Oryzias latipes: one gene and its partner. The protein of the gene in region 2 interacts with the protein of the main gene of each other region in a pairwise test. Links are inferred from orthologs where the notes say so. Each region holds a gene or a part of one and is shown on either strand. Other genes may lie near its edges.

Region 1 (4,498 bases), on a different chromosome or scaffold from region 2:
CAATCTCAGCAGCGTCCTCCACACTGGCATCCAGAGCCTCTTTGACCAGAAACACCAAAGATGATTCAACGGTTTCTCCATCGACTGTTGCAGCGCTAACATCAGAACCTTTAAGGAAAACGTTTTACAATCAATTCTAAAATACCACTGGCACAATTTGAACAGTTGAAGCAAGGAAGCAAGATGAAAAAGATCAGAATGATTTCCTTCTTACCCCTCTCAAGTAGCAGCTGTATGTTCTCGATGTTGTGCACAGTAAGTCCATCGCTGCTCGCTAATGCATGTAGCAGCGGCGTTTTCCCTTTCGATTTGAGAGGAAAGCAACCCTTTTTAGAATTAAAAGGGCACAGATGGATATTGTGGAATGACGTCGGCCGATTTAAACGCACCGTGCTTGTCTCTAGCGTTCACAGCAGCACCGAGGTCCAATAAGGTGAGCAGACAGGGCAGCCTCTCCGACTCCTCACTCGCTAAATCTAAGGGACTGCTCTCGTGAATCTGAAAAGGACATGCAGGATTGTATATTCCCATATCCAGAACAATTGAGAAATGTAGAAGAAAAATTGGTTAAGTTCTCACTCGGTCCCTCTTTTCGATGTCTGCTCCGTGTCCAGCAAGCAGCCTCACCATATTTGGCCGGTTCCTCAACACAGCTATGTGCAGTGGGTTGTAATAGGACACTGGGTCTTGAAAACAAAACAAAAAAAGTTCACATTCATTGATTACAGCGTTTCCTTGTTTACTGTGGGGTTACGTTCTAAAAATAACCCGCGATAGGTAAATCCGCGAAGTAGGATTCCAGATGTTTAACGGCTGTAAAACCCCTCCCTCACTACACACCGTATACATTTTCTCAGACAGACAGGAACATTTTTACTCTTTTCTCTTGTTTAAACTCACAAAATGAATCCAGTGTTATAGAATGAAAAGGTTCATATAAAACTGGCAAACTGCCCACATTCTGTACAGGAGACACAAGAAGGAGATTGACTGACACAAGGCCTTTAGCCAATCAGAACAGTGAACACAATGTCCTGGGGAGAAGAAAAAAAAAGAACAAAAAAAAGTTCAAAATTGCATTGAAAAAATGATTAATGTTTTCAAATGTTGTTAAATTGCTGTGGCAGTTAAAACATGAGAATATTAGATAACATTTCTGAAAACTGTGATCCAAAACCAAAAACAGAAATGAAATAAAAAAAATCCTACATCAACTGTAATAATATTTACTTTAAAACAGCTGTCAAGAAAACATAGTTTCAATTTAAATGCAAAAGAACAGCAAAAACATGATCCGTTTTGAAAACTAACTTACTGCAGCAACTTTATTCATGTTAAACATGAATGAAGCTGTTTCTGCAGGAATTCACTGAGTACATAGGAGAGGAAGTGTGCATCCAAAACCAGTAGAGGTCACCACAGCAGAGACTGACGACAGCTTTGATCAATCCAGTGACAAACACTCATCTTCTCACTGAAATGTCCAATTACTCAACGGCCTAGAGGTGGACTGTCAGCCCCTGAGGGCGGAGCTTAACACTCAGCATCACTGGGAGGGTCAAATGTCAAAAGGTTCCTGAGCGCAGCTAAGAATGTAGCTCACCGGTTCTTCAGGGGACAGGTTCAAAAGGAAGAACAAGCAACACGCACACACGTGTAGGTCAACTGGAGTTGCTTTCACTTAAATTAATACTAGTTTAATACTAATTTGCCAATTTTACAAAATGAATCATCATTAAAATTAGCCCAAAACTGGATTTACAAATGAATGAGATTTCTAACATGACATAAATGGAGGAAAATCATTTAGGCAATAATTACATGGATTTCCACTGGGGAGAAACGTGACCAAATCTGAATATTTACCTTCAAAATTGACATCAGCTCCATAGCGTAGGAGGATTTTGGCAGCATAAGCGAATCCCTGCTCTGCCACCTTAAAAAGTGCATAACTGATGCCTTCAACAAACATCTCTGACTGGGACTCCTGCTCCAGAAGCTCCACTAAAGAGCTGCATCTTCTGGGCTCATCATCGGGACTCCTAACAAGGCAAATAAGAAAGAAAAGGTCTCAATCAAACCTACAGGGCCTTTTTTTTCCCCTCATGATGAGGGAAAAATCAACCATCAATCATCGACCATCTGCTAAATATTGGTTTGGCAAACGTACCAGTTTTCGGGATGCCTGTTGTCTTCCTCCAAACCAATTACGCGCATGACAGCATCTACCAGTGGCTGATATTCATAGATGATTCTCCGAAATCCATGGAGAAAAGGCATGGCTCTTCCGGTCCGGTCTCAGACACGTCTGATTCTAACGCAGGAAAAACGTGTTAGAGACTTTCAAGGTAAGAAAAACGATATTTCGTTCATACAGCACTGTGTAGCCCTAAATTGTTGATATTACATTTTTTCTTCTACTGTTCTTTTTTTTCCAAATATCGTTACACACGATGTAGCCAATCAGAGTTAGCGGCAACTATGATCTATCTCGTTTTTTTTTTTTTTTCGTTTTAAAATTTAAGAGCAGAAACAGAACGTCGTGAGAGTCACGTATGGTTCTAGAACAAATCCTACAAATTACTGCACGATAGACAAAACTGAACATAAGATGAAGTGAGAAGAATTGCTTAGAAAAAAGAAAAACTTGTTCGAATCTTAGCAATTTCACAGCTACTCACAACAGAGTTCCCTCTTCACAACAGGAAGTTGGCCGGCGCTTGATTAATTCCCACTGAAACCACTAGACGCACAATAGTTCCTAGGAAACTGTCCGTTGGGAAAAAATGTGTTTGTGAGAAAAAGAAAAACTTTTTTTTAATGTAATGCCGTTCTTTTTTTTTTTTTTTTTTTTTTTTTTTTTTAATAAGAGTGAGCTAAATTGTACGACGGAGTATTAGGGCCACAAAAAAAAAAAAAAAAAAAAATAGAGCCACCAAAAAAAAAAAAAAAGTAAAATTACGAGATTTTATCTCGTAAATTTAGGAGATAAAAACTCGTAAATTTAGGAGATAAAAACTCGTAAATTTAGGAGAAAAAACTCGTAATTTTAGGAGATTACAGTGGAAGTGAGCATGCAGAGCAGCAGGTGAACGCCGTGCAGCCGCAGAGAAGACCGACTATACTTTGTTGAACAGGTGAGCTGAATGTTTATTGATAACGTTCCAAATGTCTGGAAGGTCATTTGTTTGATTTCCGATTCATTAAAGTTTTATTTATTGATGGTTGGTTTGCAGGATCTCTGCAGCCCGATGAAGCCGTCGTCGGTGTCCCTGCAGCTGTTTGCTTGAATCCTTTCTTCCTCCACCAAAGACAAGACTCTACGTCTGTGTGACGCTTCCGTCACACAAAAGGAGGAGCACTTTTTTTGGCATTTTCAACGTTCCAAAGCCAATATAAAACACTATTTTCATTCCTCTTTATTGTTTTATGCTGAAACGGGACATTTCATCTGCAGGAGGGGGCGTTTGTAAGACTGTTTACTTCCGCATTGGTGTTGGGATGACAGGTTCATGACGTAATGAGACAAATGAACTTCAGGATATGGGAATGAAAAGGAGAATAAAGGCTGCAGCGATTGTCTACACCCAAACGTGTCTCTGAGCTCCTTATTTTACATATTAAACTCCGCTTTACTGACACTGAACCCCGGAAAGACTGCTACACGGAAACTAATCTGATTTTGAGTCGCCAAAAGGTTCAGAATCTCTTTGTTTTACACCTATAATAATCCGGAAATGAAGCTTCACAAAAGGCTCCACATACTTCATCTTCAAGCTAGGTTCCGATAAACGGACAACTTCGGTGTTTTTTCCTTAATCTACGACTTTTTTCTCGTAAATTTATGAGATTTTAAGTCGTAAATTTATGAGATAAAAAGTCGTAAAATTACGAGTTTTTATCTCCTAAATTTACGAGATAAAATCTCGTAATTTTACTTTTTTTTTTGGGTGGCTCTAATTTTTTTTTTTTTGGTGGCCCTAATACTCCGTCGTAAAATTGCAAGATATGTAAAAAGAAAATAGCATATTACCTCTTTTATTTGAAAGCATTTGTAAAACTGTAATTTGTAATTCGTTGGCTAATCATAAATCAAAAGTCTAAATAATGTTTTTGATTTGATTCTAAATAACCCAAGTTGGGCTGTTTTTAATCCAACTCCAAGGTTTAAAAAAGACAAAATTTTTGCAATGTTGTTTTACTTCGAGTAAATAAAACAAAAATTGGGTTAAAAACGAAACCATTGTAACCAAACAAGTAAGTAGTGCTCCAAAAGTAAAACAAAAATATATTACTAACATTAATAACCCAACATTTAGGTTAAAATTAATCTAAGTGTTAGACTTCAAGACATATGTTTGTATTTGAAATGCAAACTCCAGCAAACACTGTAAAAAATATTCAACAAATACTTTTAAAAATCTGTATTTTTTTAACGTTATATGTTTATATGTTACATTAGTGAACAACAGCAGCTTTTTGTTTTGTTCTCCTTTTT
Region 2 (4,200 bases):
TGTTTTTCGCGGGGGTTACGTTCCAAAAAGACCCCGTGATAGGCAAAATCCGTGAAGTAGAAACCTTTATTTTTTTTAAACTATTATTATACAATTAAATACTCTATTATACATTGAAAAGAAAGAACAAACCAATTTACAGGCTCAAGCATTTGTTTCACAAATAAAAGTACTTTAGAAACCTTTTTTTCAACAAATAACTCTGTACTGTACTGTCAAATAATAATTTTAATGAATGTGAACAGAAGGCTTCAAATCGCGGAGATTAGCCCCGCCCACCGCGACCCGAGTATTGGATTAAACGGGAGAAAATTTAAAATGATTATGAAAAAAATACAAAGTACAGTGGGACAAATAGTGACTCAGGTGTATTTCACTGCTCTTCAGACTGAGCCGCTGCATCCTGACTCAGCTCTGCAGTGTTTTCTTCTTTTGAAGCCCGCGGTGCAGCTGTGTTTGTTCGGGAGAAGAACATAGTGATAGGCAGTTGTTGTCGCTCTTTTTTCTGCTTTGCAAAAAGATCCTTATACACCGACTTGCCACCATCAAGAGAATTTGCACGTAGTAATGAAAATTTGGCAAGCTGATTTACGTACGTGCACATATTAAACTGCAACGTTATTGACGCACAGGTAGAGAAGAAGCGGAGTGACTTTTTAGCCAATCAGAATGCAGAACACAATGCACCATGCAAATCCGTGAAGTAGCGAAACCGTGAAAAGCAAACCGCGTTATAGCAAGGGATCACTGTATATCCAATTCCTTGTAAAAGTAAACTTGCCTGCACTGGTTCTTCCAACACTCCACTGCAAATAGGACAGAGGAGGTCTTCATCCACCTCACCCTGGAACCTCGTAACATCGTACCCCATGGTACACTACCCACAACCTCCTGAGCATCAACAACAGGTAGCACACAAACAAACAGTAAAATGTCAGTACTTCAAACGGTTGTGATGCACAAAGAAGGAAACAACACAATTGTATTAATACATGTCAATTAATACAATTTTACACTTTAAATTTCAGCATTTAAATGGGAATGATTAATTATATGTAATTTCAATGACTTTAGACTTTCAAATCATTTAGTAATATCTTCATTTACATAAAATAAGTGCTGAAATGGATGTATAAAAGTAGGGCATACTGAGATTTTACCCTTTACACAATTGTTTAAAAACATAAACAAATGGATTTATTTTGTACAACAAAAAAAACATCTACTTCATGTGACCGCATAAAACTGCTTTAGTCAAGGTCTCACAGGGATTTAACTAAGAACAAGAAGTCTGAAAACATCAGTCAGCAAGCTGAAGAAAATTACAACAGCAAGTAATTAAACTGTTTGAGCCCAAATCTGTGCAAAAATGTGTCCATCACCCTTGTTGAGGTTAGTCATCTGAGCTACTAAAATGAAAAGCACAACAGTTTCATGGGAAAAAAAATCTTCAACAAGAAGCTTTGTGGTTTTGGACTACTTAAAAAGCATTGTGTTCATATTTTTCCATGCCATTCATACAATAAAATTACCAAACTTGCAAAAAGGAGAAAAGGGTGAAAACATTATTTCTCTGCATGAGTTACTTTAGTTAAAAAAATGCTTAGTACCTCTTAAATATCTCTCTCTATATATATATCTATCTCTCTCTCTCTCTATATATATTTTTTTTTTAAAGAAAGTAAAACTATACCTATACCTATACAGCTATTTGCTCGTTAATGCTAAAATCTGGCAAATAAATAAATAAAGACCAATGTTAATCAAAAACTTGATGTAAAGTTGTTTGTTATTTGTTTAATTTAGCTTTTTGGGACAAAAAGCATTGAAATAAATTCCCATGTTTGCTGACATATTTAAATAGCTGTGATTTAAAAGAACCCCCAGAAAATCAACTCTTTCCCAGAATTACTGTGTCAAGAACAGATAATATAAGGGGTTTAAGAGCTTTATTTAACCATATATGAAAAGACAAACTATTCGAGACAAAAAAAAATAGCCTACGTGATAACAGTTCTGCTGATGCGCAGCATAAAAAAGCGGTGCCCTTGAGCCGAAGTTGTGTTATTTTTCAGCCGCATCTCATCGGCATCCACATTTATACTGGGTTAAAATCTGAGGATTGGATTTCAATATCTGAGTACTTTCCAAATAGGATACTGACACCAATTCGGTTCGAGTTAGATTCACCTGACAATTCGATTTTAGCATCATTAAACGATAGCTTTAGCAAAAGTTAGCGTACCGCTAAAGCTAGTGTTAGCTACGTGGAGCTCTTTTCCCTTTGACAGTTTACTAATATATAATGTTAAACTATTTTACACAAACACATAAAAGTAAATAACAAATTTAGTGTTTCTTCAGAAAGAAAAATTAACACATGTCACGGGTTATTAGGAACTGACTTATGTCAAATATAGGTATAGGGTTAGCATCTACCAAAACAGTGGTTTTCATGAATGTTAGCACTCAAGCTAACCCGACGGATCTCAGATAGCACAAATATTTATGAAAGCGACTTTAATAAAAAACACTATGAGAAAAATAAAATTCACTACTATACTTACTTAGGCATGAAGCAAAACAGGTCCTTGTCAGGTTTACAAATGTTTAAAAACGTTGTACCTTCGCTAGCAATGTGCTAGCCACGTCTTGCTACATCCTACACTTGAACGTTGGCAGGAAGAGGAGGACTCTACCACAGGTTCTGAAGGTCTATGTCATTCTGTTCTTCAAATCAAACAGTTGATAATATTCCAATGGGGTTTAATGATCACTTTTCCTTTAGCCTGTTATATATGTTATGAAAGATGTGTTCGAAATGAGATTGAAAAACGGAATAGATTTTTGCCGCTGTCCCCTATTCTTGTTTGTAAATTGGTCTATTCCATAGTCTTCGTGCTGTCGAGGACCGATTACGTTTTTTATGTGTTAATTTAACCTTTATTTAACCATATAGAGAAACAGTTATACTTTAAAATGACCACCCAGATGTATTTAGGCATGTTTTTAGAAAACCAGAAAGCGATTACATTCTAAGGATTTTGACACACAATAAAAACTTTTTTCCCAGGAAATATTTTAGTTTTTACAGTATATTATTTTTATTTTGTTTTGTGTAGTTTAATTTGATAGAAATAATTGAAGATATTTCTTTTTGTTTTTAAACTTTTTTCTATCTTGGAAATGTCAGTTACTGTACTTTCTTTGTTCATCTGCCTTTTTCATGAAGTAATGGAACATTTTCTGACATATTTTTTTTATCATGTTAATAACATTATGCCCTGCATACATAGTAAACTTTAACAAAACTTTTCATGATTCTTTACCCAAAGGAAACAGCAGAAAGGAACATGTGAGCCATTGTAAATACAGAGTGTGGGTTCCAGACCATGAACATTTTTCTAAATTCTGCTGCTGGTGATTTGAATGATTGAAATGTCAAAAGACAGAAAACAATTAATTTAATAAACAGGAACCTCAGTAGTCAGCTACAACAGCCTCAGTCGCCACCGGTCCCCAGTTTGGTTACACACTCCTGTGTAATGGCGTCCCATTTTTCATCCAGCGTTTGTTGCAAGTCCAACATTGTTGCTGCATTAGTCACTCCTGCATAAAAAAATAAAAATCACACCCAAAATTGTTCCCTAAATTTAACACTTTGATTGACTTGAAGGCAGAATTGTCAGCAAGGTATTCGACTCTTCCCACTTCCAAATTCAGAAAGTAACATCCATCTACAGTGAGCGGCGGTTTGGCCATCTTTACAGGTTAAATCCTGTGGAGAATTATCTCTGGTTGCAGAATCTCATATTTTTCTTAATTGTGATTAGCTGTTTGCCAAGACAACTGCTGGTCTTATTGCCCTGCAAACATCAACTGCAAATCTGTAAAAAAAAAAAAAAAAAAAAATAGTGCAAATGAGAAGAAAAGGTGTCCTTAGGCTGTCTTCTTGGGACATTGACTTTTTTAGCCCATCTCTGACATTTATTGTTATAAAGTAATAATCTTAGCCTTCAATTTGGAAATGGAAAAAGAAATTATCTTCAACAAATACTGGGATTTAGTTTTGTAAAACACCACTCTGTAGTTGCCCTATTCCATAGGCCAACCCAAAGTAGGTCAATCAGTTGTTAGCAGCAACTGGGAGTACCTACATCTCAGAACAAGAGTTAAAAAATAAAAAACACATTAAAGGCT

Evidence for each region.
Region 1: the proteins of rnf41 (region 2) and asb6 interact in binary tests that used the Homo sapiens proteins (3 or more experiments, as listed by UniProt). The link is inferred for Oryzias latipes from reciprocal best matches to the Homo sapiens genes RNF41 and ASB6.

The regions. Positions count from the first base shown.
Region 1 is NC_019867.2:19,701,789-19,706,286, forward strand, and holds the start of asb6 (ankyrin repeat and SOCS box protein 6), read right to left. Parts: upstream 2,801-4,498; 5' UTR 2,682-2,800; intron 2,315-2,681; 5' UTR 2,281-2,314; coding exon 2,171-2,280; intron 2,043-2,170; coding exon 1,867-2,042; intron 687-1,866; coding exon 580-686; intron 499-579; coding exon 390-498; intron 302-389; coding exon 215-301; intron 109-214; coding exon 1-108. UniProt on the Homo sapiens protein: Probable substrate-recognition component of a SCF-like ECS (Elongin-Cullin-SOCS-box protein) E3 ubiquitin-protein ligase complex which mediates the ubiquitination and subsequent proteasomal degradation of target proteins.
Region 2 is NC_019865.2:22,245,477-22,249,676, forward strand, and holds the start of rnf41 (E3 ubiquitin-protein ligase NRDP1), read right to left. Parts: upstream 2,843-4,200; 5' UTR 2,568-2,842; intron 892-2,567; 5' UTR 872-891; coding exon 782-871; intron 1-781. UniProt on the Homo sapiens protein: Acts as E3 ubiquitin-protein ligase and regulates the degradation of target proteins. Polyubiquitinates MYD88. Negatively regulates MYD88-dependent production of pro-inflammatory cytokines.